Linked DNA regions of Mus musculus. The protein of the gene in region 1 interacts with the protein of each later gene in a biochemical or structural test. Links are inferred from orthologs where the notes say so. Each region holds a gene or a part of one and is shown in the gene's direction. Other genes may lie near its edges.

Region 1 (6,163 bases):
GAGTTATCATAGAGAAAGGAGCTTCAGTTGAGGAAATGCCTCCATGAGATCCAACTCTAAGGCATTTTCTCAATTAGTGATCTAGGGTGGGAAGGCACATTGTGGGTGGTGCCATCTCTGGGCTGGTAGTCTTGGGTTCTATAAGAGAGCAGGCTGAGCAAGCCAGGGGAGGCAAGCCAGTAAAGAACATCCCTCCATGGCCTCTGCATCAGCTCCTGCTTCCTGACCCATTTGAGTTCCAGTCCTGACTTTCTTTGGTGATGAACAGTAATGTGGGAAGTGTAAGCTGAATAAACCCTTTCCTCCCCAATTTGCTTCTTGGTCATGATGTTTTGTGCAGGAATAGAAACCCTGACTAAAACAATGCATAAGACTTCTTTAATTATTACCGAGTTAAAGAAATTCTTTTCAGAACTAAAAATGTTGAAGCTGTCTTCCTGGATCTTGTCTTTTATAATTATATATGAGGTAAAAGATGACATAAAATATCTCCAGTAGGAAATACACTCTACATACTTTTTTTCAAGCTAATCATACTGTTTATTCAAATGTAACTAAAATTGAATGGGAACTCCAAAGTTTTTTTGTAGTTATGAACAGATTTTGAGGTAAAATTTCCTCTAAATATTAAAAAAAAATAATAAAATTATCCTTAGGATTGATAAGTGATATGAATTAAATTACATACCTTTAACAGTCCTTTTAGGTTTCTCAGTTTTAAGAATATATGTTATAACCATGATTTTTCTAATACTTTACATTGAATTGCCATTTTTATTATCTTCCACGATTATTAAATAACTATAAGAGAAAAGCTGCAGGGTTTTTTTAGTGACTTAAGTCTTAATCGTTATGTTTTTAATCTTGTCTTCAGTTGTACCTTGAAGCAGCAGATACTGTGGAATCCCTAGGCAATCCTGGGCATGAAGAGTTTCTCCCACGGTAAAGCTGAAACTTGGATTATTTTTTTCTTAGTATCTCTTTAAGAAGCAGAGATAGAACAATTTTGTGTAAGCATTCCTCTCTTAGGTGTCTTTCCTCCTGACATTTTACTTCTTGGTTTGTTACTTCTTTGCCTAGTGATTAAATATTGCAGTAGTACTATGTCTTTTTACCACTTTATATGTAGTGATACAGATTTTCGGCTTATATACATGAGAGTGGTTAGCATTCAAAAGCCATAATATTAATGAATAAGATTGCTATACATGATTTTTTTAAAAATAAGTCTCTTTCCATTTGAGGCCATAAATTCAAAATCAGTTAAAACTTTAGAGATTTCATTATCTCAGAAAACCACAGAACCCAGAGTTCTGCCTTCAGTGTAAATGAATTAATAACTCCAAATCCCTTCTGTAGATTCCTCTAAAAACTTTTTTTAAATATTATGATCTTTATAATTTTTTTCTTAAATACAATAGTCCCTCTTTATCTGCAGTTTAACTTTCTCAGATTTTAGTTGCATGTAAATTATCGAAAAGTACAAAAATGGAAAAGTACAGAAATAAACTATTGATAAATTTAAATTACATATACTTGGGTACAAAGTGATAACATCACACGCTGTCCTTCCTGGGATGGGAATCATCCTTCTGTCTGTCCATTAATCCTTTAGAAGCTCAGAAGTATATTCTGTTTTAAAGTACAATATTAAATTGTTACTAACAATAATCAATAGTATTTTTATATCTTTCTGTTTTCTTGGTAAATGTTTTTTCAGAGGAGATAGATATGATGCCATACGTGCCTGCATTGGAAATACATTGTGTCAGAAGCTACAAAATTTGAATATCTTCTTAGTAAGTGTGAATGAAGATGGGAATAAGTAACATGTTCAAAATGTTGTTGAATGTCAAGTTAATTTTTAAAGTCAACTTGATGTAAATGAGTAACTGATAAATCATACAATCTCCAGAGCTTAATATGTTTACTTCCTGGTCCTCCTACGTAAAACTTAGTCAATTTAGGATCTGAAGAGTATTCATTTCAAAATAAAGCATGAATGTAACAGCTTTCAACATTAAATGGTTTTCTAGAAGTACTTTAAAAACACATTTTTTGAAACTACATTTAAAAATGAGTAAATGTATTCTCTTTTTTTAAATATCTTAGTTTATTTTGAGAGAAAATTTTCACAAGAGCATAAATGTTGTTGGCTAGTCTTAAAAATACTACTTTTAGTAATCATAATTTTGTTTATTTGTTTTTGTTTTTCGAGACAGGGTTTCTCTGTAGCCCTGGCTGTCCTGAAACTTACTCTGTAGACCAGGCTGGCCTCAAACTCAGAAATCTGCCTGCCTCTGCCTCCCAAGTGCTGGGATTAAAGGAGTGCGCCACCACTGCCCGGCAGTAATCATTTTTGTAAAGTAATATCTTAAAGATTAGCAATTACTGCTGAGATTTTTTTTTTCATATAGATAGAATATAATCAGGTTTCAAATATCTGTTTTACTTAAAATTCTTTGTAGACTTGTCTTAAACATATCTCTGTCTTTCAGATAGACTGACAAGTGTCTAAAAGTAAAGACTTTTTCATGTTACCTAGTTCCAGGCTCGGGTTGTTCTTATGTTTTTTTTTTTTTTTTTTGCTTTTTCTTCTGTTACTGTTTTCTTTTCTCTATAAGAAATAAGTTCAGCATTTAGCTTTTGTTAGGAATCTTCAATTATTTTTGTTTGAAGAAGTTATAAATACCATAGTTTTCTTATTTGTTTTATACTTTTTTTCTTTAATTGAGACACTTAAAAGGCATTATGAAACTTGTAAAAAGTAAAGTCCACCACAAGTCAGTCACAAATCATTTTTTAAAATTGTATTTAGTGTTATAGCATTTGATGAAAATTAGAATGAAATTCTTTATTCATTAAAAATTATAGTATTGTTGTCTGACATTTGTACTCTTTCTTCAATAGGTAGGATGTGGTGCCATAGGCTGTGAAATGTTAAAAAATTTTGCATTACTGGGTGTTGGTACAGGCAGAGAGAAAGGAATGGTAAGATACAAGTCACTTGAGACTTAAACATTTATATTTCTCCTGTTGCCCATTTTTGAACTGTGTTTAACTATACTAGCCTGTTTTACTTGGTGTAGACCATTAAACTGAGAATTAGAAGATTTTAATTGTCTCTGGTCAGTTTTTAGTCCCAGATTCTCTGCTTCTTGGTTCTTTTTTTGGTTCCTTTTTTTTTTTTTTTTGGATTTTCAAGACAGGGTTTCTCTGTATAGCCCTGGCTGTCCTGGAACTCACTTTGTAGACCAGGCTGGCCTCGAATTCAGAAATCCGCCTGCCTCTGCCTCCTGAGTGCTGGGATCAAAGGTGTGCGCCACCATGCCCGGCCGCTTCTTGGTTCTTAACTGTAATTTCCTGAAATAAGTCCTGTCTCTCTTTTTGTAGTTACCATCAATTATTAAATTTGAAAGGAACTTTTATTATCATAGCTTACAAACTGAAAACCATGTTATTCTTTTGTTACATTATTCATTCTTAAATATTAACATGAGAAATGACATTAACAAGCTGCAGAGTGCTCAGATAATTTAAATGGTGAGTTTCAAATAGTGAGAATAACACATACTTTGGTATGCAGTTAAAATTCTTCACCCTGAGTTATTACAAAACCGTGTCATATTTAAAATAACTTTTATTAGTGGTATTTTACCTTTAAGATTAAAAACTTTCATTAATGACTTCATATATTTATCTTGGTAACTAACAGTGACACTGCATAAATAACTAAAGTGAATATGGTAATCCACATTGTAGCCTTGATATAGTTTTAAAAGGGATTTATTATTATAGCTGTAGGTAGGTACACATAGCCATGCTTGGCATTTCTAAACTGTGCTCCACAAACTATGAGTCTAGTAGCTTAAAAGTTACTTGGATTTTTCTTGTGTAAAATCGCTTCTTTACTGTAAGCTTGGGATTACCTGAATGTTTTAACTGTATAGAAGAACAGTGCTTTTAGTAGGTAAAGGTCAGGATGAGCTGAAGTAAAGACTGTAATGTGGGCAGGCTTCTGTCATTCTGAACACAGAGACTTGTAACAAAACTTTAAGTGTTCATAGATACACCCAAGATGTAAAGAGAAATCCCCAGGTACCTAGAATCAAGGGGGAAAAAATGAAACCTTGAATTAAACACTAGATACAATTTTTTTCTCTATTTTTAATGTCTAAAGCTTTTAAGTAGAAAAGAAAGACACTCACTAGAAAGTAAGACTGTTAACCAGCACCCCGCAAGAGAGAGGGGGAGGGAGGGAGAGAGAGGGAGAGAGAATGAGAGAGAGAGAGAGAGAGAGAGAGAGAGAGAGAGAGAGAGAAACATAAAATTCCACAAAAATGTAGACACATACACAAGGAAAATTGCTAAAAGAAAATGAATGTGAACACCAGTCAACACCTCAAACTGGAACCTGCACTGAGCAGTACTATGCCATTTTTTTTAATTCTAGCTTAATAGCACAGGGGTTTTCAATTCTGCAGATTATGTTACCTGTTTGCTTTCTTCTTTCACTTTCCAGAAATAGGATCTATACATTCTTTTTTTTTTTTTTTTTTTTTTTTTTTTTTTTTTTAAAGATTTATTTATTTATTATATGTAAGTACACTGTAGCTGTCTTCAGACACTCCAGAAGAGGGCGTCAGATCTTGTTACAGATGGTTATGAGCCACCATGTGGTTGCTGGGATTTGAACTCCTGACCTTCGGGAGAGCAGTCGGGTGCTCTTACCCACTGAGCCATCTCACCAGCCCAATCTATACATTCTTAAAGGGCAAGTGTTTTAGGCCTCTAAATCAACTATCTATGATAGCTAGTTGGCTATACAAAAACTACTGGAACTGCCTAGTAGTTTATAAATTCAGCCTTAGTTGGACTCCTGTCAAGTTGAAACATGACAACATTCTTCTCAAATTATTTCAGATTAAGAATATATATTGGGCTAGCAAGGTGGCTTATCAGGTAAAGGCACTTGCCATTAAACCTGATTTAGTTTGATCCCCAGAACCCACCCATGGAAGGAGACAAAGGACTTTTACAAAGTTGTTGTTTGAGTTCCACATTTATGCTATGGGCACATATTCCTCCACACACATACACAATAGTTAGGAAATAATAAATAATTTTTAAAAGAATGAATGTCATAAATTTAGAAGAGATAGTTCCTCTGTAATTCATTTTTTAGGTATAAAAGATGATAGGGATAGTTTTAGTCTCCAAATAAAGAATTTTTAAAGGGAGTTTCTAATAAGCTTAAATCATTTGTGTTATTTGCTATGATCATGCACTAAATATTAGTTGAAATTAATAAATTTAACAATGATACCATATTACTGGTAACATTGGGAATTTTTTAAAATGACTATTACTAGCAAAAATGCTTTGAGAGTGCTGTTTCTGTCATAGTGAGAAATGCAAAATAGATTCATTTGTTTTATTCTCCTGTTATAAGGTAACAGTTACAGATCCTGACTTGATAGAAAAATCCAATTTAAACAGACAGTTCCTGTTTCGTCCTCATCACATACAGGTTTGTCACTGTTTTTTTATCATAAACAGATATTGGTTGCGGGGTAATCCTGTTCTTTGTTAGATCCTTAAGAGAAAGAATAAAGATTCTTTGGAAAGAACAAAATGAAGAAAATAATGATCTTTCATGTACACTAAAATTGGTTTTTGGATGTTACTATTTGAATCATGACATGAGTAGTACTTTTCATTTTGTAATCACAGAAATTTGTTTCCATAAACAAATTCTCTAATTCGAGGTTTTAACAAAGCACAAATTTTAACACTACTTTTTTGGGTTTTTTTGTTTCTTTGTTTGTTTGTTGTTTGTTTTGCTATAAAACAGGTAAGGTTTAGTATTTAAAAATTGCTGTACACTATTTAGTCGTCTCAAACCAAAATATTTAAATCCGGAAAAGAAACAGACAGTACACTCAAAGGCAGAGGCAGGTGGATCTCTTAAGTTCCAGGCCAGCTTGTTCTACACAGTGAGTATTATTAGTCATAGTTACATGGTAAAACTGCAGTGAAAAACAAGCCGGGCAGTGGTGGTACAAGCCTTTAATCCCAGCTCTTGGGAGGCAGAGGCAGGCGGATTTCTGAGTTCATGGCCAGCCTGGTCTACAGAGTGAGTTCCAGGACAGCCAGGGCCACA
Region 2 (6,163 bases), on another chromosome or scaffold:
CTATAGCCTCACACCTGCCAAACCTTCTACCATTTAGCCACAACATCGGCTTAAGTTCTTCTTAAGTTTAGTAAGTTTTTTTTTAGCAAGAATAAATGATTGCTGTCAGAAGACTAGAAACAAAGAATTAGTACTTAGCTACTAGAAAATTTTATACTTGAAACCTCAATATTTTGAAATTATTATTTAATTATTATTATTTTAATCTGATTTTTAGAAACTGACAGTACAATAGATTTAAATTGAATATGAAAGGATTAGGTTGAAGGACAAGACTTAAAAGAGATCTAGTTGCCCATTTGATCATTACTACCTAGTAGAGGCTCTAGAGTTAATTGGTTTTGGAGTTTTGTTTGTTCAAATGTATGTATGTATGTATGTATGTATGTATGTATGTATGTATGTATGTATGTTTTAGGTGTTTGGTTTGAGGCAGGGTCTCAACTGTGTGTGCAGATGAGGTTGGACCTCTGTATCTCTTCCTCTTTAGTGCTGAGAACAATGCCCATCTGACTCTCCTGGGTTTGTTTGTTTGTTTGTTTGTTTGTTTTGTTTTGTTTTTCGAGACAGGGTTTCTTTGTATAGCCCTGGCTGACCTGGAACTCACTCTGTAGACCAGACTGGCCTTGAACTCAGAAATCTGCCTGCATAGAGGCATTTCTACTTACTTACTTTATGGCATCTAACCACTGTTTTCGTTTGATGCCTTCTAAAATGTGTATGGTGACTCTAGATATGTTTTTCTGATAAATGAGCTGCTAATGGTGAGTTTGGGGCCTAGTAAAAGAAACCATAAACAATTACGTATTGAAGAAGTTTGAAGGACCTTTAGTTTTTATACATCCCAATAAATTTTTGTGTAGCTGTACTCTTAACAGTTTAATCCCGTGTGACAAGAGTTAGCTTGGTTGGGTGATGTAGATAAACTCATACTGGCAGTGTCTCTCTCTGGTGTAGATATTGACTGGATTTTCCTTACAAACTCTTTTGTTCTCTGTCTCTGTATTGAGTAAGCCCACTTTAGAAATGAGACAAATATTTACTGCTTTTATAGGTAGTTACTTTATTGAGTACTTTGAAATTATCGCTATAGCTTATGAACAAATTTGTGTTTTGTGTGTTTGTATTTTAAAGTAAGGTTGAGGATCCAGCCCAGAGTAACATATGCCAGGCAAATGCTTCATGTCCCCCCAGCTCTGTATTGAAGGATATACTGGAAACTCTAAAAACCCACAAGAGATCATAATTTATTTTCATTACTTATTTGGAGGCAGCTTGGACTGGTCTGGCATTCACTCACTCTGTAGTCAAAGAGATCCTTCTACCTCTGCCTCCCAAGTACTAAGATTAAATGTAAATGTCACGGTGTCTTGCTTACATTTTGTTGTTGGTTTTTTGGTTTTGTTTTGTTGTTGTTGTTGTTGTTTGTTTGTTTTGTTTTTTGTTTTTTTGAGACAGGGTTTCTCTGTGTAGCCCTGGCTGTCCTGGAACTCATTCTGTAGACCAGGCTGGCCTCAGAAATCTACCTACCTCTGCCTCCCAAGTGCTGGGATTAAAGGCAGTCACTGCCACACCCTGCTCACTTGTCTGTCTGTCTGTCTCACTCTGTCTCTGTCTATCTGGTTTTTTTCCTTCCTTCCTTCCTTTTTCTTTTAATGGTTTGGACTCAATTGGTTTAGTCTTCATCCTGCCCATTGAAACTAGTCGTTATCATGCTATTTATAAATAAACTTTGATTAGATATAGGAAATGATAGGTTTCTCTATCGTAGGTGTAATGTGAATATTGTTAATTAACATGGTGACCCTTTTTTCTTCTTTTTCAGTGTTTCATTGGCAGGCTACAATAATGGGGCCAGTAAGTATTCACTTTAATTCCTTAATAATTGTTTCAAGTAATTTATCCATTTTTAATATCACTTTTTTATCATCAACAGAATGACAGCCCCTATCAGGGTGGAGTATTTTTCTTGACAATTCATTTCCCAACAGATTACCCCTTCAAACCGCCTAAGGTAAATGGTATATGATCATTGCTCTTAAGATGCTCTGTATGGTACTGGTAAACAAATCACAAAGATTTCTTTTTCTTCAGGTTGCATTTACAACAAGAATTTATCACCCAAATATTAACAGTAATGGCAGCATTTGTCTTGATATTCTACGGTCACAGTGGTCTCCAGCACTAACTATTTCAAAAGGTAATGGAATGGTTGTTTGATAACAAGGTGAAATAACTGATTTTGTGCAGGGTATGGAGGAGCACACCTTTAATACCAGCACTGTGGAGGCAAAGGCAAGCAGATCTCTGAGTGCCAGCACTGTATAGTGAGACCCTGTCTCAAAGGGGAAAGTAACTGCTCTTTGTTACTGTTCTCTGTTGGCTTAACTTTTTAAGATTATCTGGGGCTTTTTTGTTTTTGCTTTTGTTTTGTTTTGTTTAAAAGAAAATGAATGATGTGATTGTTTGATTTTTATCTGTTTGTTTTAAGACAGGGTCTTACTCTGTAGTTCAGGATGGCCTTAGCATCTACAGTGCTGGGATTACAAGTGTGAGCTACTGTACCTGGTTAAAACTTATTTTATTTTTGAGACAATCTCCTATATCCCAGACTATCTTCTTTTTTTCTTTTTTTTTTTAAGACAGGGTTTTTCTGTGTAGCCCTGGCTGTCCTGGAACTCACTTTGTAGACCAGGCTGGCCTCGAACTCAGAAATCCGCCTGCCTCTGCCTCCCGAGTGCTGGGACTAAAGGTGTGCGCCACCACGCCTGGCCCCAGATTATCCTTGAAGTTTCTGTATGACTGATTGTGTCAGACAACTACTCTTGTCTGTTGGAAATTTGACAGCTGATTTTCTCTGAATATGAGCCTCTAAAAATTGAGGTTCGCTAGTGCTGATGTGTATTCTCAATCTAGGATTTAGAAGAGCTGTTTTGTTCTTCAGAGCAGAACCTCATGCACATTATGCAAGCTTTCCACCACTAAGCTACCTGCATTCATAATTCTATATTCTTATCTCAGGTTGGCATATCAGGTTGGGTTTTTGGTGGTGATTTGTTTGTTTTCCTCTTGGAAACAGGGTCTTACTGTACCACTGTGGCTGGCCTTGAATTCGCAGATATCCACCTTTTCCCCTGCCTCTGCCTCCTGAGTGCTTCCATTAAAGACCATGCCCAGCTTCTGATGTTTAAGCCTTTTGCTGTGGTCTTCTACTAACCTATACTTTTTTCTTTTTCTTTTTTTTTTTTACTATCCCAGTACTTTTGTCCATCTGTTCTCTGTTGTGTGATCCCAATCCAGATGATCCTTTAGTGCCTGAGATTGCTCGGATCTACAAAACAGATAGAGAAAAGTAAGTATCACCTCCAGATAAAAAAACATTCAGGCATGGGATAGAGCTGCCTTACAACTTGTTACTTATAGAGTTAAATATAGACTAAAAGTTTAAGATAAACTCTCTGAGGGGTACATGAAACAGGTTTCTATATCATATATTATAAACAGATGATACTAATCTCATATATATAGTTGTCTAATGTAACTTCTACTAAAAACCTTTCTTGCAGTACTTTTCGAGACAGGGTTTCTCTGTGTAGCCCTGGCTGTCCTGGAACTCACTTTGTAGACCAGGCTGGCCTCGAACTCAGAAATCCACCTGCCTCTGCCTCCCGAGTGCTGGAATCAAAGGCATGTGCCACCACGCCCAGCTTCTCCTTACAGTACTTATTAATACCTTTGTGTCTTGTTTGGTTTTAGACTTGTGAATTATTGTACATCAGGTTCTCATTTATTTATCTTACATATAGTTTGGTAAATTAATGAGAAAGATAATTGACCTTACTACCATTTGGCATAAAGGTGCCAAATCTTTTAAAAACAAGTTTTGATGTAGAATTAGGCATTTAGAACTGTATACTGTATGACTTACTCAAGAATGATCATGATATCAAGTGACTTCGAGGTCTAGTCATTTTTGCTTTTGTGTCTTACTTGATGAGATTAAGACGGGACTATATAGAATATGGGGGGCTGCCCCCCTTAAAGATTTATTTATTTATTTATGAGTACGCTGTAGCTGTTTCACATCAGAAGAGGCCATTGGATCCTATTATAAATGGTTGTGAGCCACCATGTGGTTGCTGGGATTTGAACTTAGGACCTCTGGAAGAACAGTCACAGCTCTTAACCATTTAGCCATCTCTCTAACCCTGCTGTTTTGAGACAGCATTTCTTGTGTAGCTCAGGCTGGCCTGGAACTGAAAGATCCTTCTGCCTCTGCCTCTCAATGCTGGGATTAAAGGCACATGCTGGTGATGGCACAGGACTTTAATCCCAGCACTTAGGAGGGAGGAGAAGGCAGACTTTTGAGTTCAAAGACAGCTGAGGCTATGTGGAGAAACCCTGTCTTGAACACCTCTTACCCCAGGAAAAGGGCACATGCCACTATACCTTTCCCACCATACATAACTAGATTTTGAGTTAAAAACATAAAAGACTAGCTGAATGTGGTAGCCAGCACCTTTGATTCCAGCTCTTGTGAAGTGGAGACAGATTAAGATCCTGTCTCTCATTAGCTAATTAATTAATTAGTTAATTAATTAAAAGTTACACACGATTAGAATCTGTTGTATTAAAAAGTCATAGATACAAGCTGGGCTGTTGTGGTGCACGTCTTTATTTTTAATTCCAGTATTTGGAAGGCAGACAGATGACTATGAGGTCAAGGCTAGCATGGTCTACATAGTGAGTTTCAGGACAGCCAGGGCTACATAGAGAGACCCTGTCTCCATGGAAAAGAAAAAAAGAAAGAAAAGAAAGTCACATATATATATGCAGAGTATTGAGGCAGGAGGACTATGAATTTGAGGCCACCTTAAACAACAGGATGATAGCTATCTTAAAAGGCCCAAAGTCAAAAACAACAGAGAAATCATAGATGTTTTTGGTTTTGTTGTTAATGTTAGTGTTTAATGAAGCTACACCAGCAGTAGGGAATACTGGACACTAATTCTTAGTTTTGTTTTGTTTATGTCTGAGTACCATTAATAATCACGTGTTTCTGGCTGAATTTAAAATTTCTTAACCTGGCAGTGGTGGCGCACACCTTTAGTCCCAGCACTTGGGAGGCAGAAGCAAGTGAATTTCTGAGTTTGAGGCCAGCCTGGTCTACAGAGTTCCAGGACAGCCAGAGCTACACAGTGAAACCCTGTCTTGAAAAAAAATTTTTAAAAATTAAAAAGTAAAATTTATGGGCTGGAGAGATGGCTCAGCAGTTACGATCACTGAGTGTTCTTCTGGGTCCTGAGTTCAATTCCCAGCAACCGGATGGTGGGTGGCTCACAACCATCTGTAATGGGACCTGATGCCCTCTTCTGGTGTGTCTGAAGGCAGCAACAATGTACTCACATACATGAAATAAATAAACCTTTTTTAAAAATTAAAATAAAATTTATTGCCTGGAAGCAGAGACAGGCGATCTCTGAGTTATTTTATGTACATTAATCTTTTACCTGCATGTATGTCTGTATGAGGGTGTCAGATCCCCTGGAATAGGAGTTATGGACAGTTGTGAGCTGCTATGTGGGTGCTAGGAATTAAACTGCTCTGAAAGAGCAGCCAGTGCTCATAACTGTGAGTCATCTCTCCAGCCCACATTTCTATTCTTTGTGTTCTCTCTCTCTCTCTCTCTCTCTCTCTCTCTCTCTCTCTCTCTCTTTCTCTCTCTCTGTTTGTTTGAGATGGTCTCATGTAGCTAAGGCTGGCCTCCTTAATTCACTGTGTAACTTTTTTTGATCCTCCTGTCTCTACCCCTTGAATGATGTATTAACAGGTATATTTGTCTAGACTTACATAGGTTTTCTTTATTTTCTTACTGGAATGTTTTACAAATTATTGAAGTAACCCTATCAGAATGAGTTATTTTATTAATATAAAGGAAGGTATTATGCCATTTTATTTCTTTGTAGGGTTTTGTTTTGTTTGGAGACAGTATCTTACCATGTAGGCTTGCTACAGCTTGGTATGGATAACCATGCTCACCTTCAGTTCACACATACCTATTTATTTTCCTATGCCTTCTAAGTGCTAGGACTAAAGAAGTGCACCACCATATTCAACTCCTTGTAGGGTTTGTTTGTTTTGGTTTTTTTGAGACAGGGTTTCT
Region 3 (6,818 bases), on another chromosome or scaffold:
TAACTCAGCAGTTTGCAAGGAGAAGTTCTGTGCAAGTGAGCAGTTTAAAGGCAGTTAGCTGGAGGGAGTTCTGCACAAGCTTTAATAGAAGCTAAGCTGGGGCATCTTGACCTCAAGTTCCTAGAATAGAGTTGAATAACTGTTTATGGGGCTTCCCAATCAGAGAGATCAGATTCTAGTTAAGCCGAACATGGCCTCAGCAAGGATCCAAGATGGAGGAAACTGCACTGCGTTGCCCTGCCACAGGATGTGACGTGAAATGGTTACCACCAAGTTTCTGATATGTTCGATGTTCACCTCTGGGATAAAGCACCCTGAGCAGTCTAGGCTACCTGCATTTCTTGGTGTTCTGGTCTTCCAAATTCCCCCCAGAGTCGTCCTCTTAGCCCTGCTCACAGCAATCTGAGAGTTCTCTAGCTCCCAGCTCTGAACCTGTTTTCCACTTTTCTCCTTAAAACTAGCTCTGGGGCTGGGACTGGAGAGATGGCTCAGCGGTTAAGAGCACTGACTGCTCTTCCAGAGGTCCTGAGTTCAAATCCCAGCAACCACAGGGTGGCACACAACCATCTGTAATGGGATCTGACACCCTCTCCTGGTGTGTCAGAAAACAGCTACAGTGTACTTATAATAAGTCTTTTGGCCAGCAGTGCAGAGTTGACCAGTGGGGTTGACTGGAGCAAGCAGAGGTCCTAAAAATTCAATTCCCAACAACCACGTGAAGGCTCACAACCTTCTGTACAGCTACAATGTACTCACATTAAATAAATAAATAGATCTTTTTTTTTTTTTTCGGCCATAGTGTACTCATAAAAATCTTTAAAACAAAACCAAACTAGCTCTGAAGCTCATGGTCAGGCTCATCCCAGGGATGGCCTCAGTTCATGGTACTACTTTACAAGTTTGTTTTCTTGCTGATGGGATCAATACCCGACACACAGAAGTTAATTTTGCCTTGGGGTTGGAGGGGATACCGTCTATCATGGCGGCAGGTGGCTCCAAGGCGGCAGCAGTGTGTGACAGCTGCTTACTCACCGGGTAGCTGACTGGGAAGCAGAGAGAACTAGAAACTAAGCTAATCCTAATCTCAAAATTCACCCCTATCCAGCTAGTGGAGGTTCCACCCTGACCAGCAAACATGTGGGCACGACTCACATTCAAACTGTCGCAGGGAATCGGGGCTGCCACATCATTTGGATGTGTTAGACTAACTTATGCTTCTACAGGCAACAGCAGGAGGAGCAGTGTGTCCTCGAGGCCTCCTTTTGACTTGTGGGTGGGGCATGCTTGGGAGGGTTATGCGTGTGGGATTTTTTTTTTTTTTAACCTTACATGTAATTGGAGTAGCATCCTAATATTTTTTTTCTTTCTCAAGATAGGGTTTCTCTGTGTAGCCCTGGCTGTCCTGGAACTCACTCAGTTGACCAGGCTGGTCTCGAACTCAGAAATCGGCCTGCCTCTGCCTCCCAAGTGCTGGGATTAAAGGTGTGCACCACCACTGCCTGGCTCTAATATATTTTTTTAAAAGATTTATTTATTGTATGTAAGTACACTGTAGCTGTCTTCAGACACCAGAAGAGGGAATTAGATCTCGTGACAAATGGTTGTGAGCCACCATGTGGTTGTTGGGATTTGAACTCAGGACCTCCAGAAGAGCAGTCAGTGCTCTTAACCGCTGAGCCATCTCTTCAGCCCCCTTAATATTCTTTTTTAAAACGACAAATGTGATGAATCTAATGCCTCAAATCTTTTGAGTTCAGCTTCTTATACTCAGGGTCCCAGCAGGAACTTTCTCTTTGTCCCTACACCTAGTCCTGAAAGCCCCTTTTTTCGGAGAGCCACGTCCCGAGCTGTATCCCTCATGTCCACTTAGCGAAGGCAGTGGTGCACCTAAGAAAATACCAAGCATCTATCTGGCAGTTCCGTATGATGAGGAAGTACAGCTTACTTGGCAGAGTCTGAGTTTTTTTGGCCAGAGAGGATGGGATATGGCCCGGGAACTTTATCCTTCCTTTGTGAAACCAAGGTACTCTTTCTCTTGCTAGAAGTGTCATCTCAAATCACCTGGGCCTCAAAAACCAGGTGTAGTGGCACTTGGGAGACAGAGGTAGGCAGGTGGCATCTCTGTGAATTCGAGGCCGGCCTGGGCTAAATAATGAGTTCTAGGACATTCATGCCTACAAGGGGAAAGTTTCACGATCTGGACAGCCACTTCTGAGGGGCGAGCCCAAGCGCAAGGACATGAGTCTCATTCAGGAACAATCCATGATGAGCCATTAGCTCTCGCACTATTTTTCAAGACTAAAGGGCCGCAGGGCGAGCTGCGCAAAGCCTCACGGCGGCGTAGGAAACCTTCAATGCTGAGGGTGTGGCCGGCCGAGAAGATTCTGGAAGCCGAGCTCCGTCGACCCGGGCCATTACCCGGGGAGCGCGAGGCGAACCCCAGCGAGCCTGTCTGAAGCACCCGGGTGCGCCACGTCACCCGCGCGCGCCCCGGATGCATTTGCGCCCGGAGCCCGCGACCCGGAAGCAGTCGTGGGCGTCGGAGCGGGCGGGCGGGACCGGCGCGGATGTGGCGAGGCTGCTGAACGCAGGTTCCGCGGTATGGCGGGGACGGCGTTGAAGAGGCTGATGGCCGAGTATAAGCGTGAGTCAGGCGGCGCCGCCTTCCTGTCCTCTTCCCCATAGTCGCCCGCGGCGTGGCCCGGCATGGCTCGGCTCGGTGCGGTGCGGTGCGGGGGTACTGGGCCGGGCTGCGAGATTCCGCGTGCGGATAAAAGGCCAGGCTGTCGCCGTCACCTGCGCACCCCAGCCAGCGGCAGCGGGGCTGGCCCTGGGCTCAGAAGCCGGCCGGGGCAGCGCCGCCGTGGCCCTGCCACCCGGGTCTGGTCCCTAAGCCCCTGTGTGCTGCGCATCTGCCCTCCCGACAGTTGATGCTGCGGGGCGAGTACCGGGTAATCCCCGTAAGGTGGTCGAGCCGTCGAGGGGAGTTGGGGGAGAAAGTTAAAAATAAACAAGATAACGCCTCAAACCCCCGGCCACGCCGCAGGTGCGAGTTGCTGGGGAAAACCAAAGTTTCTCGGACACGGGCTCCGGACAGTTTCCTTGGATCCGGATCTGTTTTTCTCTCTGTTTTACTTTTTCAGCTCTGTGTCTAGATTGAGACACATCCCCTTTATCTAAAAAAGAGGGAACAGCATTTAAGCTCCGGGACAGGGGTTTAAGTTTTGACCACTTCTACCCAAGGGTATTCACATTAGAGAAAAACTTATCCGCCACAAAAAGCCTCTACTCGTACGTCAGACAAAACGTATTGTCACTTAATTTGAAGTTAAGGTTGTGAATCATCTCCGTGTGAGAGAGAGAAGGAATTTGGTTAAAGAGGGAACTCTAAAATAGGAAGGCTGGCGAGGGGCTCAGGGGGTTCACAGAGGAGAAGGACTCCACCTGCTGTGGCTTCTTGGAAGAGGAAAAAAAAGGGCAGGGAGCTAAGGGTGGCCCCAGGCTGACAGCTAGTCTGGGACCAGTGTTACAGCCATACGGAACTGAGTTGTGCCAGCGACTTGAATGGACTTGGGTTGCAGCCCTGAAACAACCAGCTGTCTCGGCTGGGCCCAAGCCCACATGGAAACCATGAGGTCATCAATGGATATTGTTTAAGCCTGTGGCAGCAGTGATGGAAATGCATCCAGCAGTACAAAGCACGAGGAGCGAGGGAGGGAGGGAGGTTTTTTCCGTGTCCTTGTGAATTCAATAAAAGTCCCACTGAGTGTTTTTCTTCCTTTATGGTATAAAAGGTTTGTCCTCTGTTTAAGACCATGTACTCTAGTATTAGGTAGATTCAACAGGAACATCCAGGTTGAATTAGAACATCCGAGGTTGGGCTAGAGCGAAGGTGTTCTTGCATACCTGATTGTACTGTAGATTTAGAGGCGATATGACCTTGAGTGTGGTTCATTGTCTAACTTTTTTTTAATGTGTTTTTTATGTGTATTTTTATGAGTATTTTGATTACACATAGGTAAGTGTGTCATATGTGTGCCTGTGCCAGTGGATGTCAGAAGATGACATCAGATCCCCAGGGACTGGAGTTACAGCTGGTTGTGAGTCTTTGTGTGGGTGCTGAACTAGAACCTGGATCTTCTGCAAGAGCAACAAAATCTATGAGTCATCTCTTCATCCCTATTGTTTTTCAGGCTCCTTGTTTTTCTTTTATAGCAGTTGAATAACAGATATAAAACGATTAGACTGTGGTCATATCACAAAAAGAGCCAAGCGAAGACCTTAGACTGCTCCCAAGTGCAGTGTCCTGTGCACGCAGAGGCGGATATTGAATGTCCCACTCTGTCGCTCACTCTCCACCCTCTTCTCTTGAGACCAGGCCTGTCATTGAACCTGGAGCTCATCAATTCAGCTAGAATGGCCAGCCAGTTAGCCCCAGACATCTTCCTGTTTCCTCCCTTGCCTCCAACTCTGGGGCTACAGGCACCCATGGTAAATAAAGCCTGCCTCTTTTTCATACGGGTGCCAATACTCGAACCTGGTTCCTCTGTAAGAACAGTGTGTGTTCTTGTGTCCTTGTCATATGTTTCCACAGCTTTTCTTCTTACTGTGACAGACAAGGGAACAGTGGTCCAGGGCTGTTGTAACATTGTCACCACTCAGATACCATAACAGACAGCATCTCATGGTTTGGAGATAGAATTAGAAGCCCACTTGTGGCCTGGGCTGTCACCCTAGGCAGGGTGGGCTTTTGGGGAAGGTCCTTCCTCCCTCTCAGCTCTAGAGTGCTGGCTACTGCGGGTTACTTAGCTGTGCTAGTGTAAGTCCTTCCTCTCCTGTACCTTCCTGTGGCCATCTGAGCCTGGGTGTGTCGGTATTCAGATTTTTCCACTTGAAATGTCAACAGTCACTGGCTTAGGGCCCAGCCTAGTCAGAATGTTCTGTATTTAATTCTGGTACATCTGCTGAGACTGTTTCCAGACAGTGTCACAGTTCCCACATTGGGGTAGACTTGAGATTGTTTTACAATGACAGCTGTTTTTGTGTATTTGTGGGTGGGCAGGCGAGTGCCACTGTGCATGTGCAGAAGTTAGGACAACTGACAAGGGTCACATCTCCCTTCTGTGTGGAGCCTGGGAATTTCGAGCTTGGCCTGTCAGACGAGGCAGGAGGTGTCTCTGCCCACCAAGGCAGCACGTCAGAGTAGGGGCGTGAACCAGAGCAGAGCTGTTCACCTAAGGCCAGACACGGGAGAAGTAGAAAGGCTGGGTCCCTGCATTCCCCTTAAGGATCTGCTCTCAGTGCCTCCCCTGCTTGTTGCCTGGCCATGCTGCTGCTCCCTGCTATGATGCACTGCCTTTTCATAAGCAGGCATTCTCTCATCTCAGGTGACTTTCCTCAGGCACTTTGTTACAGTGATGGCCAGCTGAATAACTCGGTGTCCATGATACCCTGCTTGCAGAGCAGAGCAGGACAGTGACCTAGAGTCTTCATCTTCCCAGCACCACCAAGAGTTAGCGACATACCGAGTTGTCATTCTTTCTCTTTCTATTGCCGTTCTGTCTCTGGACACTGTGTGGTTTTCGTTTGTCTGTCTTAATAGAAGTTGTACAGTGTATATATATATATATATATATATATGTGTGTGTGTGTGTGTGTGTGTGTGTGTGTGTGTGTGTGTGTTCTTTGCTTTGCCCTGGGAGCTCTTACCAGCCTTGTGTCAGTTTCCTTTCTCTTGAAGCTTGTGACGGCAGCCTCCTCTCCTTGCTCAGTGGATTTCTCTTTATGAACAAGCCAGCATCCCTCTGTTCTGCTCCTGGCAGACACTGAAGTTACTTGCAGTTTGACTCTTAGAAGTACTGTGAGCAGATTTGAAAATCTCCTGGTGGACATGTGCAGGTTTGCATTGGAAGCATAATTTAGAGCCGTGCCGCATCTGTGTGAGCAGCCGGCGTTACAAGATATGCTGACCTGTTGGTCACTGTGGCTCTTCTGGTGTGTGTGTCATGGCCACCACAGCTGAGTTAAGTGTGTGCTACTGCTCAGGCTTTTCACTCATACGTTATCCTTGGGGTCTTCACCTTGTCTGGTAGGTGTTAGATGGCATCCTGGTGGCTTGAACTGTATGTTAGTGATTGCAAGTGAGGCAGCGGGATCCTTTCACATACACAAAAGGCCATCTCTGCCTTTTCTGCCAAACGTCTGCCTCTGGCAGGCTTTACACAGCGCTGACTTTTTCTCGCTGGACTGTAGGATCCTGTATGTTTGAGTGTGTCACATCCATGCTGTGAATAATAGCATCCTTGGAGTGCCCCGCCCTGCCCTGGGACTGCTCTGTCCCTTCTCCCCCCTGCCCCTCCTAGGTAGCACCGATTTGCTTTCACTCACTGGAGTCTTGGTGCGCCCTTCTTCGGGCCTCTGCACTCAGCACAGTTGTGCTGAGCTTGTCTGTGCTGCAGTGTACCCTTACCCTTCCAGCAGCAAGTGATGAAATAGAACGGGCAGTTACAGCTGTTGTGTAAAAGTCCTGGCAGGGCTCAGCAGGGTGGAGTGAGATTCCACTATAGTTCTCTGAGTCGCCATTGAAAATATATTGGTTGTTTACTTCTGGGAATTTCCACTGATATTTTGATATTTTCAGACCTCTGTTGACGTAAATATTCACAGACAAGGGAGCACTGGCTTGTTTCTTTTCTTTTTAAAGGTTTTAATTTTATTCTGTGCATTTGGTCTTTTTCCTGTGCATATGTCTGTGTACCAGGCGCATGCCTAGTGTCTGCAGAATTCAGAGGAGGGAGTTGGATCTCCTGCAACTGAAG
Region 4 (4,186 bases), on another chromosome or scaffold:
TAAGGCTCTACCCAATCCGATCACAATAAAGCTGTATTGTTAAGGCTATGCAAACGCAGAACCCTGCAGGCCGCTGCTCTCAGATTGGCCCCTCGGGGTTAACAACGCGCATGTGTCCGCACTTGGCGGTGCGATCAGCACTCAGCCTGGATCTTTTAATTTGCTGTTCCTAATTTGAGGGGAGCTTCTTCGCGCTGCTCAGCCCTCTCTGAGGAGCACGGGAAGAAATCTCCATCACCTGGGCCGGCAGAAGCCGTGAACCGGCTCCACCTTGACTAAGGCATCTAGTCACCCCGCGGCCCCGCCCACAGCACCTCCCCGATTGGACGCCCGGGGGAGGGCCGTGTCGGCGCGCGACGGCCGGCCGGTCGGGGGAATTCCATTTCCTCCCCCGCCCACTAGCATAAGCACTCAGGGGCGGTGCTTCCCTCGCAAGACCCGCCCAGTAAGAGCCCAGGGGGGGGGTTGCCGGCGCATCTCGCGATAACTTGCGGATTTGGGGGCGGGTCCCGAGCCAGGAAGAGAGCACAAAACTGCCCTTAAGTCATTGCAGACCCGGAGCTGCTGCGAGCCTGCCACGAGGTTCTCGCGAGATCCGCCACCTCCATCCCAAGTGAGGAAACGGGGGGCCACTCAGGGAGGGGCGTGGGGCCTCGACCGCGCAGCTGCCGCTTCCATTACCTTCCTCCTAAGGTCTCCTTCCGGTTCTCGATGCTTCTCTGAATTTAAGGGTTTCCGCCACTCGCCTACCCTCCCCCTCAGCCCATGACCCGCCTCCGTCCCCCGCCCTCCCGGCCCGACCTCCGATCGCTTTAGCGAGAAGGTGCTGTTCCGACAGGGAGACGGCAAGCGGGCGGCACGTCCACTCGGCCCGAGCGAGGGAAGCAAACCGCTCCCCCCTGAACCCCTCGGCTCGCCCCGCGCTCGCGACGGCGGCGTTGGCGGACGGATACGCGGCGGTGAATAGGCGGGGGGAGGGGCGGAGCGTGGCAGCTGGCAGTAGTTCCGTCAGAGCGGACATCTTGTGGCTGTGCCGTGCGCGTGAGCCCCGTAGGGCCGGGGAGGCACCAGCTGCCGCGCGGGGAGGAGGCCGAGGCCGCAGCTCGAGGGAGGCCCCGGCCCTCTGTACGCGTGGGTGTGGACAGCTCGGGAAAGGGGAGGGAGACGGGCCGGGGCCGGCGCGGTGCCCGGGGGGCTGTGGGCGGCCCGAGCGGGCAGCCCTCGCGGCTGGGTGGGGTAGGGTGGGGAGAGGCCGGCGGCGGAGCCGGGGCCCGGCCGCAGGGGGAGGGGGCATGGGCGCGTCCTCGCGCCGGAGCTCCGCGGCCGCCGGGCGCGTGGTGGCGAGGTGGCGGGCGAGCGAGCGGGCGGGCGCGCGCACGCAGGAGCGCGCTGCGAGGCGGAGAGTACGGTGGTGTCAGGGGCGACCCAGAACAGCCCTCGCCGTGGGGACGGGAGCGCACCCGGGGCCCATTGCCTTGTGCTGGCTCGCTGTCCCTTGGAGCCGAAACCGAAAGGAGCCCGGCGTCGGTCCGGAGCCGCCCGCTCCCCTCCCCCTTGCCTTTCTCTGCCCGAGTGACGCCGGCCTAGCGCCGACTAGGCCCCGGCTCCTCCTCTGCCCGGCTCTGGACCCTGCCCCGCACCCACCCCTTTCTCCTCCGCCTCTTCCTCTCCCACCCGGGGCTCGTCTTCCTTTCAAGAGGCCGGGAAGTTAAACTTGTAACCACCTCTCGGCGCTTCCCGTCACCCTCTCGCCCTCTCTGGGGCGAAGCGCGGATCTCGGTAGCTGGTGGCTCCGCCACCCCGCCCCGCCCTGCCGGGATCGCGGCGGTTTTCAGGGTTCTGGAGTCAGCAGGGTTTCTCCGAGGCCCTGGCGAGTCGCTGACCTGCTCCGTTTTTGCAAAAAGGCGCCTGTGTCTGGCAGAGCCGGTGTGAGAAGAAGAGACAACCCTTCCCCGCCGCCGGGATAATCAAGAATTTTGGCCGGACCTTTGAGTACACCTCGGGATAGTGAGGAGCCCGGCGAAAAGCACAGACTATGGCGCTGAAACGGATTAATAAGGTGAGCAGTTTGGACTAAATGGTGCGGACAGGGTTGTGGGAAGAAAGGAGGCTTGGGGCCCAGAGGAAAAAAAGCGTGGGTCTGGTGGTGGATACAATTCTGAAAATACCTTTTCTTGGGTTAAGGAAAGGCAGGTGCACTTTGAAATGAGCTGTAAGATAGGGAACTGAATGGTTTGGGTAAGCGAAATGTTAGCTTTTTTCACTAGAATCTGTAAGTATGGGTGAGGGAGCGTGGCTATTAGGCTCCTCGGTTTTTTGCCTAAGAGTCAGGTTTGGGAAGTAGAATTGTGTACAGGCCCTCGGCTAATGTCATGGTGCTGCTTCCTAGTCTTGGTTCTTCAAAACTTATTACAGCTGCTAAGGCTTATTGGCATTCAAAAGAAAGGAATGTAACAGATGAAAAACGTTTTGTTCCAAACTTGACTGAGAGTCTGGGTATGACAAACATACCTCAGTTCGCTAAAATGTGGTGACGAAGTCTGTTCAGAAGCTTAACCAAATCTGGGCAGTTACACAAGAGTAAGTAGGGTTGGGAGGAGGTGGACCGACACTGTTGCCACTTCCTGTGTTGTGTGGTCGCTGCTCTCACCCGAAGCTATTTATCTGAGGCACTGGGAACCCTGTAAAAGCCTTCTGAAAGATCCTGGGGGGAGTGGGGGTTGACAGTGCAGGGAAACTGGATGGGGAGACTGTTTTTGCTTAAAACCCATCTTTAAGGAGGCTTGTTTGAGCAAATCGATATAGTTTGATAAGTTGTCAATTTAAGTTGGCAAGAACTAGAATTTTTTTCAGAAATATTTTGCGAGTGGATCCACCTCTCCGGTGGTTTAGTCTCATTTTCTTGCTCTAACTTCTATCCCGCATTTTAAGATGGCGGCTGCTTTAACTGGCTCGGGTTCTTTCCGGCATCTCCTTTTCTAACTATTTAAGATAATGTTCTCTGTTAGCGTTAAACGTTTTTTTATTCTGTTGTAGGGAGCTCTCACAGCCTCTGCCCCCAAGACTTAACCTAAATTCAAACTCTCAGACTAAGTTTCTGTGCGTGTGTGTGTGTGTGTGTGTGTGTGTGTGTGTGTGTGTTTTGTATTTGGTTCTTTCACAATCGAGAGGGTGGAGTATTTACAGCTAACTTGAAAAAAATGTTGTGCAGAATAAACTCAGTCTTAATAGAAAAGACAAAATGGGAAGGTTCGGTATTAGAAACTTTGGCTTAGTAACACAGTTTTTAAAGAGTTCTGTGGAAAGGAAGGCAAGGACTTAAAATGACTGGTAGGATCTAATACTACTTTATTTGTAGTTATTTAGTATGTATAACTTGATCAGTTTGATTGGAAAAGCTGTTCATGAAGTTAAGTCTAACCTGTATATATTGATGTTGAAATCTTAAATTCTGTCTCTGGGTAATCTTTGTAGTTTTATGCAAAACACTTAACTGTTTGTATTCTTGATGATAATGCAAAGAGAAAGAAAACCTTAGTATTCAAGACTTCAAATAGATAATAGAAGTTAACATTAAAATTATCACTTAGTGTGACAGTTTTGAGGGTCAACCTCACTTTTTAGAGATGCATTGTTGTGCTTTGCAGCATAACTAATATGGAGACTATAACATTCAGTGCTAATCAAAATTCAGATCTATAGCTTCTTATAAGTGTAAAACAGAACATTTTAAAGGGAGGTCTTACTGATTTTTTTCTTTTACAGGTGATACCCAGCTGCTCTGGCACCATTTTAATGACTTAAAAGCTCTAGCAAGGCAGTAATGGTTAAGTGTAAACATTTGTAGTAAAATAACATGAGATAGAATCAGGCTCTAAGCAAGTTTATCCATTTGCCTAATCTATACCAGGAATTTTTCTATATACTGGGATGGCAAGGGAAAACAGATTTTACAAGTTTAAAGAATTATGTATTGATACTTCACAGGTAAATTTTCTTATATTCGAAAACTTGATGTACCAAATGGCTGATTCAACCTGATTTCAAGCATATCGGGTTTTTTTCCTTCAGATATTGTCAGAATCATGAGGCTGCTTAAAAAACAAAAAAAAGCACCCAAATGCTGGCATAATTTTTGAAAGGCTACTTCTCTAAAAATAAGGGGCCAGTTAGACACTGTCATGAG
Region 5 (6,851 bases), on another chromosome or scaffold:
GCACAGCTGATTGTACCTACAGCTGATAGCTCCTGCACTAGGAAATACATGGTGACTCACGAGAGCTGGCAGGCCAGCCAGCCTAGTTGCTGGCTTCAATGTGCTTCTGGATCTGTGAGAGACCCTCTCCTCAGGGAATAGGTTATAGAGAAATAGAGGAAGATCCCCACCATGACGGACTCAGAAGAGCTACCAAGGTGCATCTGCTTACCTACACACTCAGGTAGACACAACCCACACATACCACACACTACACTCATCCACTGAATAAATAACTGGGCCAATCCAGATTTTTATCAAGTAATAATTTTCCATATTCATACTTTAATTGCAACATTAGAACACTCTACTTTTAAAGATAATGACAAGCTTGCCATGGTGGCACATGTTTATAATCCTAACACTTAGAAGACAGAGGCAAGAGGATTGGGAGTTCAAGTCTGGCCTTGAGGTCAGCTTGAGCTATATGGGACCTTGCCTCAAATGAACAAAATAAAATAAATAGTGATGATACCTAGGCAGGAGGATTGTTGTGAGTTTGAGGACAGCCTGGGGTTTAGAATGAGGCCTTTGCCAAAAAGAAAAAAAAATCCTAAATTAGGGTACACACATTTGAGCCAAGAACTTGGTAGGCAAAGGCAGACAGATCTCTATGAGGCCGGCCTGGTCTAAATAGCTCCTGGCCAACTAGGGCTGCATCGCGAGACCCTGTCTCAAAAAGAAACCCTAAATTAATTAATTAAAAGTTTAAAAATAACATTTAGAGCACTCTTGTTGGCCTCTATTCCCACCAGTTAACATACCTCCCTCTGGTGGACAAATGGAAACTGTGTCGATAGAATGGGACCCTTTCTCTCTCTGTCTTTTCCCTCCTTTCCTTTGATCCAACTCATTACGGTCTGTGCTATTTCTAAGAGACATTTTTAACTCTGTGTTTTTCAAAGAACCATCCAAGGAAGTTTCTATTTCAAGACAGGACTAATACGGTCACTGTCGGAGTAGGGACAAGAAAAGATGCTGAGGAGATTAGATATCATTAGATAGTATGAATGGCAGTAGTAAAATAAGCAGTAATCCCAAATGGTAAGCGAAAACACTTCACTGCAACAAAGAAATCCTAACCATGAATACAGAACCGCAACAGCAGACTGAAAAGCACGTCAGACTGTTGCATGACTATCGTTCAGAAGTCTGTAAGTTTGCAGAATTCACTATCTACCCTCTGGCTCAGTCCTACAACTAAATTGGGGAAGCCCAGAGCAGAGTCAGTCAGAGTCCTAATGAGTCTGAGGGTCTCCAGAAGACAAAACACACCATAAAAACCTCCATGAGGAACCAGCTGTAGCTTAACATCAGTTTGGACTAAATGCAGACATCACCGCGGTAGCCAAAATTATATTAGCTTCGAAGTTCAGAAAGACCGACTGCTAGGTCTATGCTATGGAGCTGTACAAAAAGCTAGGAGCAGTGAAAGAGAAAGGTGATTCCTTGATTGATTTCTGGTCCCACCCCCAGGGTTCCCAGAGTTGAAACCAATTCCAGTTCTGCTGAGTCTCAGGTCTTAAGCTTTCCTTTCTCTCCCAAGGACTACCCACTTTTGGCACTCGCAGCTGTGCCCTCAAAGCTGACTTGGCTATAATCATGCACTTGGTTGCTTAGAAAATACCTTTCTAGAGGTGGAAGAGCGCTTGAAAGTCATTTATTCCGTGGTTGGTGTGTGACTCAAAGGGATCAAAGGCTGGCACAGTATGTAGGAAGAGCGGGCTTGTTTTCAGGGAGAGGGAGGGGGAAATCCTTAACTTCCTCACAGTGCAGAGGATCTCTTGCGTTAACCCCTAACAGGTTGAAGCTTCCATATGAACATTTCCAGTGGTGGAGAAATTTACTCCATCCACTTTACTCTTCAGAGTCCTGATGGAATGCTTTGTTCACCAGAATTATAAATTAAAAAAAAAAATCTTTTTTCATCTGGAGGAAATCTATGTACCCAAGGCTGGTCTCAAATTCTCACCTTTTTATTTCAACATGCCTGCGCGACCGTGCTCGGCTAACTTGTATCTTTAGACTACTGATCTTAAATGAAGTTGTAAAGTTTCCCCTGTCATTGCTTAAAGCCTGGGTGACCTGGTAGCCATTGGGAAGCTGCGTAGGAGTGCCAGGAGTCTCAGGCTAGCCTGAGCTACATAGCAAATTCCAAGCTAAGCAAGGGTTGCATCGCGAGACCCCGTTCCACAGAACCACAACAAAGATATAAAGGCAGCTACTCAGCAGTCACTTCTCCAGATTAAGCGTGTCCAGTTGCCTTTTTTTTTTCCTCTCCTGTAGATGACTTCCCAGCCTTCCCAGCTCACAGTCGATTTACAAACAAGACCACAGCGGGAACTGAGAATTCCGGATACGCGTGCGCGCGCCAATTTGAGCGGTGCGTGAGCGGACGCAAGCTCTGAGCGGTGGCCAATAGGCGGGCGCGCGCCTCCCCCAGGTTTGCTGCGGACCAATCACAGTCCTCTCCTGGAAGGGGGTGGAGTCATTCCAACGGTCTCCGCGGTTCCGCGTGAGCACAGCAGAGGCGCGCCGCGGTAAGTGGGGCTGCTGACGGGTGCTGCGAGTGCCACCTGAGGGAACGAGCCCGAGGTCACGGAGAGTCTGGGGAAGGAGTCCCGTTTCTACCCGAGCGGCCCTGGGAGGAACACGGCGGGGAGAGCGAACCGCCCTGGGCGCGCCAAGGCTACCTCCAGCATCTGCCACCTACCCAGGTTCTGTGCATTGATTATTTATTTACCTCAGGCCTGGGACACAAAGAATTTTACGAAGAGTCAGTGCAGTTGTAAAAAGCTTACGTTTGCGGGGAGTGGTTACTGGAAAAGAGGCTAACAACGCCGGTTTAAAAAAAATTAAAAGGAAAATATCTTTTGAAGCCGTAGTGTAAGGAACTCTGTTATGGTTGTTTGGTTGAGGGTTTCGTTTTGTTTGTGAGACAGGTGTCGCTGTAGCCCAGGCTGACCTGGAACTGACTTCTACCTAGGCGCCTCCAGTGTCTATGCCCCCAAGCCCCGGCTCTGTGAAAACCCTTTATATTCATAAAATACATGATAACACATGGCTTTTATACCAAAGGACTTTTTAATTTTTTATTTACTTTTCTTGTATATGAGTGTTTGTCTGCATGTATGTATACACACCACGGGTATGCCTGGTGCCCTCGGAGGCACAGGACGGTGTTAGTTATGAGATGTCAGATGGATGTTGGGAATTGAATCTGGGTCCTCTGGAAGAGCTGCCAGTGCTCTTAACAGCTAAGCCATCTCTCACCCGAGAAGACTTTGTATATACCAATTGTTATCATAGTCTCATGGCTTCTTTGAGAGAAACTGCCTTTTTCCCCCTCGTTCTAATTTGATTAGCATGCCTTTCCACTATGTTCTTATTTTATATAAAGATACAGTTTACAGTTGTAGGTAGTTTTATTGTAATTGATTGCCCAAAGACAACTTTGAGGAGAGCGTTCTCTCCTACTGTGGATTGCTGGGATTGAATCAAGTTGTCAGGCCTGTGCAGCAAGGGCTTTAACCCGCTGAACTGTTTTTCTAGTCCCCTGTATTTACAAGAGTTTTGTTTCGTTTTACTGAAAATAGTCCTTCAGATTTCTGTATAAAATAGCAATGCTTTGGCTGAACAAGTCATGGGGAGAAAGTCAGTAAGCAGCAGCCCTCTGTGGCCTCTGCATCAGCTCCTGCCTCCAGGTTCCTGTCCTGTTTAAGTTCCTGGCCTGCCTTCTTCCTTCAGCAGTATACTGTGATGTAGAAGTGTAAGCCAAATACTGCCCCCCCACCCAACACACACAATGCTTCCCTCACCCCACCCCCAATAACAAGGCTTCATTAGGCTTAAAACGATAGAGGCTGAGCACATGGCTTAAATCCCAGCAGAGGCGAGCAAATCTTTAAGTTTGAGGTCAGCCTGGTCTACAAATTGAGTTCCAGGACAACTAGGGCTACAAAAAGAAACCCTATCTTAGAGAGACAGAGAGAGTTAAGAATCAAAACACTGTAAATTAAGTTATTAAGTTATTTTGAGATTTTTCTCTGGTATGGAAGGGGAGTCAAAGGACCCGTTAATTTTATTTTTATGTTGTATTATGAATGTTTTGCATACATGCATGTATGTGCACCACATACATGGTTATGAGACACCATATGAGTGTTGGGGATCAAACCCAGGTCCTCTGCAAAAACAGCAAATGCTCTTAATCAGTGGCCCTGCTCCAGCACCCTCTTATTTTTATTTTATTTTTATTTTTCTGACAGGATCTTATATGTACCCCTGGCTGGTCTAGAATTTGCCTTGTAGACCAGGCTGGTATAGAATTTTCAGTAGTCCTCCCCTTTATTTGGGGGGGGGGTAATGGGGTGTAGCTGAGGAGATATTTTGTTTTGCATTTAATAATTAGATTTTTGTATATATAATCAATACATTTTTTTATTTCATTATTATTATGTGTATGTGTCACAGTACAGCAAATGTGGGAAGGTCAAAGGACAAGTTAACAAGAGTTATTTGTCTTCTCTCTCCCCTAACCAAGTGCTGGGATTATACTCATGCACCTTCTCACACCACTTTTTTATTTTAATTTATTTATTTATTATAGCTCTCTCTGGCCTCACTCTCTCCAAAGATTGATTGATTATATTGATTATATGTAAGTACACTGTAGCTGTCTTCAGAGGCACCACAAGAGAGCATCAGATCTCATTATGGATGGTTGTGAGCCACCATGTGGTTGCTGGGATTTGAACTCAGGACCTTCAGAAGAGCAGTCAGTGCTCTTAACTTCTGAGCCATCTCTCAGCCCCCCTCACACCACTTTTTATGTGGTTTCTGAATTAAACTCAGGTCTGCAAAATATATATCAAGCATTTTAACAACTGGATTGTCTCCCTTTTTAAGCACACATAGGACATTCTGAGCAAGACTCAACAGTTTTAAAGGATATAAATAATATGTCAGAAACCAATAACACAGTCAGAAACCAATAAACAGGACTGGGCGTGATGGACTTTTAGTATACAGGGTTGGGGGGTTGTTGTCGCTGAGGCAGAAGAATATGGGACCGGATTTGGGTTTTTTTTTTTTTGTTTTTTGGGTTTTTTTTTTTTTGACAGGGTTTCCTCAGTGTATCCCTGGCTGCCCTGGAATTCACTCTGTAGACCAGGCTGACCTCAAACTCAGAAATTCGCCTGGCTCTGCCTCCCAAGTGCTGGGATTAAAGGTGTGCACCACCATGCCTGGCCAAGCCCAACTCTTATAAAAGGAAAACATTTCATTGGGGCTGGTTTACAGTTTCAGAGGTTCAGTCCATTATCCTGATGGCATCATCATGCAGGCAGACTTAGTGCTGGAAGAGCCGAGAATTCTACATCTTGATCCGAAGGCAGCAGTGGGAGAGTCTTCTGCAGGTAGCCAAGAGGAGACTGGAATTCCACACTAGGTGGAGCTTAAGCATTGGAGACCTCAAAACCCACTCCCACAGTGACACACTTCCTTCAACAAAGCCACACCACCTAATAGTGCCATTTCCTGAGAGCCAAGCATTCAAACACAAGAGCCTGTGGAGGCCAAAGCTATTCATACCACTACAGGGTGAGATGGTTAATATTGTCAACTGAAGTATAGGCTATAGAATCATCTAGGAGACAGACTTCTGGGCCTGTCTGTAAAGGACATACCTAGATTGACTTAGTTAAGGTGGGAAGAGTAACCATAAATATAGGTGGGATCAAACAGACAGTGGTCCCAGACTGAGTAAAAAGAAAAACGTGGCTGCCTGACTGAAGCAGGTGCAGGGTGACCAGCTGCCTCCTAGTCCTGCAGTCTTGCCAGCTCCACTACCCTGGACTGTATCCCCGGACTATGAGCCAAAATAGACACTACCTTTTCTTGAGTCTCCTGTGTCATGGATTTTGTTATAGCAAGGAGAAAACTGACTAATACAGAGGAACACCACCCTGTGGCCCAGGCTGACCTCAGACTTAGAGTAATCCTCCTCCTTCAGTTTGCTTTAAGTACACAAGTTCTCATACACTACTGGCCTCAAACTATATAGTCATGGATGGCAGTGTGTTGCTGATCTTCCTGCCTCAGCCTTCCAATTGATGAGATTATTGTTGTGTCCTGCCCATGCCCAGCATAATATGTGCAATATCACCTAGTGACTGGTTTGCTCTGCAGCCCTCTCCTACCCCTCACATACATCTAGTAGTGCAGGGTCTTGCTCATACTAGGCAAATGTTCTTCCGCTAAGTTATATCCCCAGCCCCTGAACTGAAGACAATTTACATTAAAAATGAAATAAGCTAAGGTAACTGGAACATTAGGGTTTGATTCAGAATATCCAAGCTGATGAATGGAACAAATCTGGAAGACTCAACAGATCCACATGTTTGAAAGTTAATTTATGATAATATTAGAAGATTTGGAGTTTCCTTTTTTTTCTTCTTTTTTTTAATGGTGCTAGGACAGTTGGTTACTCATTTGTGTGTTGGGGGGGATTAAAGTTGGACCTTCTACCCCTTACTACGCACAAAAAACAGTTACTGATAGCCAAAATATTTAAGTAAAAAGAACAAAATTTTGTTTTTTAGTTATTTTTATTTTATGTGTTTGGCCTGCATGTATGTCTATGTACCACATGCATGCCTGGCACCTGAGGTTTTATGGGTGGTTGTGAGCTGCCACATGGGTGCTGGGAATCAAACCCAGGTCCTCTGGAAGAGCAACCAGTGGTTATAACCACTGGACCATCTCTCCAGCCCAAAAGTTATGTTTTTTTTTTAATGTAAAGAATATGTAGG

Evidence for each region.
Region 2: of the proteins of Uba6 (region 1) and Ube2d2a, one has a biochemical effect on the other in vitro, tested with the Homo sapiens proteins (7 studies listed by BioGRID, with this or other methods). The link is inferred for Mus musculus from reciprocal best matches to the Homo sapiens genes UBA6 and UBE2D2.
Region 3: the proteins of Uba6 (region 1) and Ube2g2 form a complex in vitro, tested with the Homo sapiens proteins (2 studies listed by BioGRID, with this or other methods). The link is inferred for Mus musculus from reciprocal best matches to the Homo sapiens genes UBA6 and UBE2G2.
Region 4: the proteins of Uba6 (region 1) and Ube2d3 form a complex in vitro, tested with the Homo sapiens proteins (2 studies listed by BioGRID, with this or other methods). The link is inferred for Mus musculus from reciprocal best matches to the Homo sapiens genes UBA6 and UBE2D3.
Region 5: the proteins of Uba6 (region 1) and Ube2t form a complex in vitro, tested with the Homo sapiens proteins (2 studies listed by BioGRID, with this or other methods). The link is inferred for Mus musculus from reciprocal best matches to the Homo sapiens genes UBA6 and UBE2T.

The regions. Positions count from the first base shown.
Region 1 is NC_000071.6:86,137,184-86,143,346, reverse strand, and holds part of Uba6 (ubiquitin-like modifier-activating enzyme 6), read left to right. Parts: intron 1-874; coding exon 875-942; intron 943-1,720; coding exon 1,721-1,799; intron 1,800-2,910; coding exon 2,911-2,991; intron 2,992-5,452; coding exon 5,453-5,530; intron 5,531-6,163. UniProt on the Homo sapiens protein: Activates ubiquitin by first adenylating its C-terminal glycine residue with ATP, and thereafter linking this residue to the side chain of a cysteine residue in E1, yielding a ubiquitin-E1 thioester and free AMP.
Region 2 is NC_000084.6:35,798,016-35,804,178, forward strand, and holds part of Ube2d2a (ubiquitin-conjugating enzyme E2 D2), read left to right. Parts: intron 1-1,825; coding exon 1,826-1,857; intron 1,858-1,936; coding exon 1,937-2,014; intron 2,015-2,094; coding exon 2,095-2,200; intron 2,201-3,258; coding exon 3,259-3,352; intron 3,353-6,163.
Region 3 is NC_000076.6:77,619,773-77,626,590, forward strand, and holds the start of Ube2g2 (ubiquitin-conjugating enzyme E2 G2), read left to right. Parts: upstream 1-2,548; 5' UTR 2,549-2,601; coding exon 2,602-2,644; intron 2,645-6,818. UniProt on the Homo sapiens protein: Accepts ubiquitin from the E1 complex and catalyzes its covalent attachment to other proteins. In vitro catalyzes 'Lys-48'-linked polyubiquitination. Involved in endoplasmic reticulum-associated degradation (ERAD).
Region 4 is NC_000069.6:135,437,740-135,441,925, forward strand, and holds the start of Ube2d3 (ubiquitin-conjugating enzyme E2 D3), read left to right. Parts: upstream 1-1,386; 5' UTR 1,387-2,035; coding exon 2,036-2,059; intron 2,060-4,186. UniProt on the Homo sapiens protein: Accepts ubiquitin from the E1 complex and catalyzes its covalent attachment to other proteins. In vitro catalyzes 'Lys-11'-, as well as 'Lys-48'-linked polyubiquitination.
Region 5 is NC_000067.6:134,960,031-134,966,881, forward strand, and holds the start of Ube2t (ubiquitin-conjugating enzyme E2 T), read left to right. Parts: upstream 1-2,534; 5' UTR 2,535-2,756; intron 2,757-6,851. UniProt on the Homo sapiens protein: Accepts ubiquitin from the E1 complex and catalyzes its covalent attachment to other proteins. Catalyzes monoubiquitination. Involved in mitomycin-C (MMC)-induced DNA repair.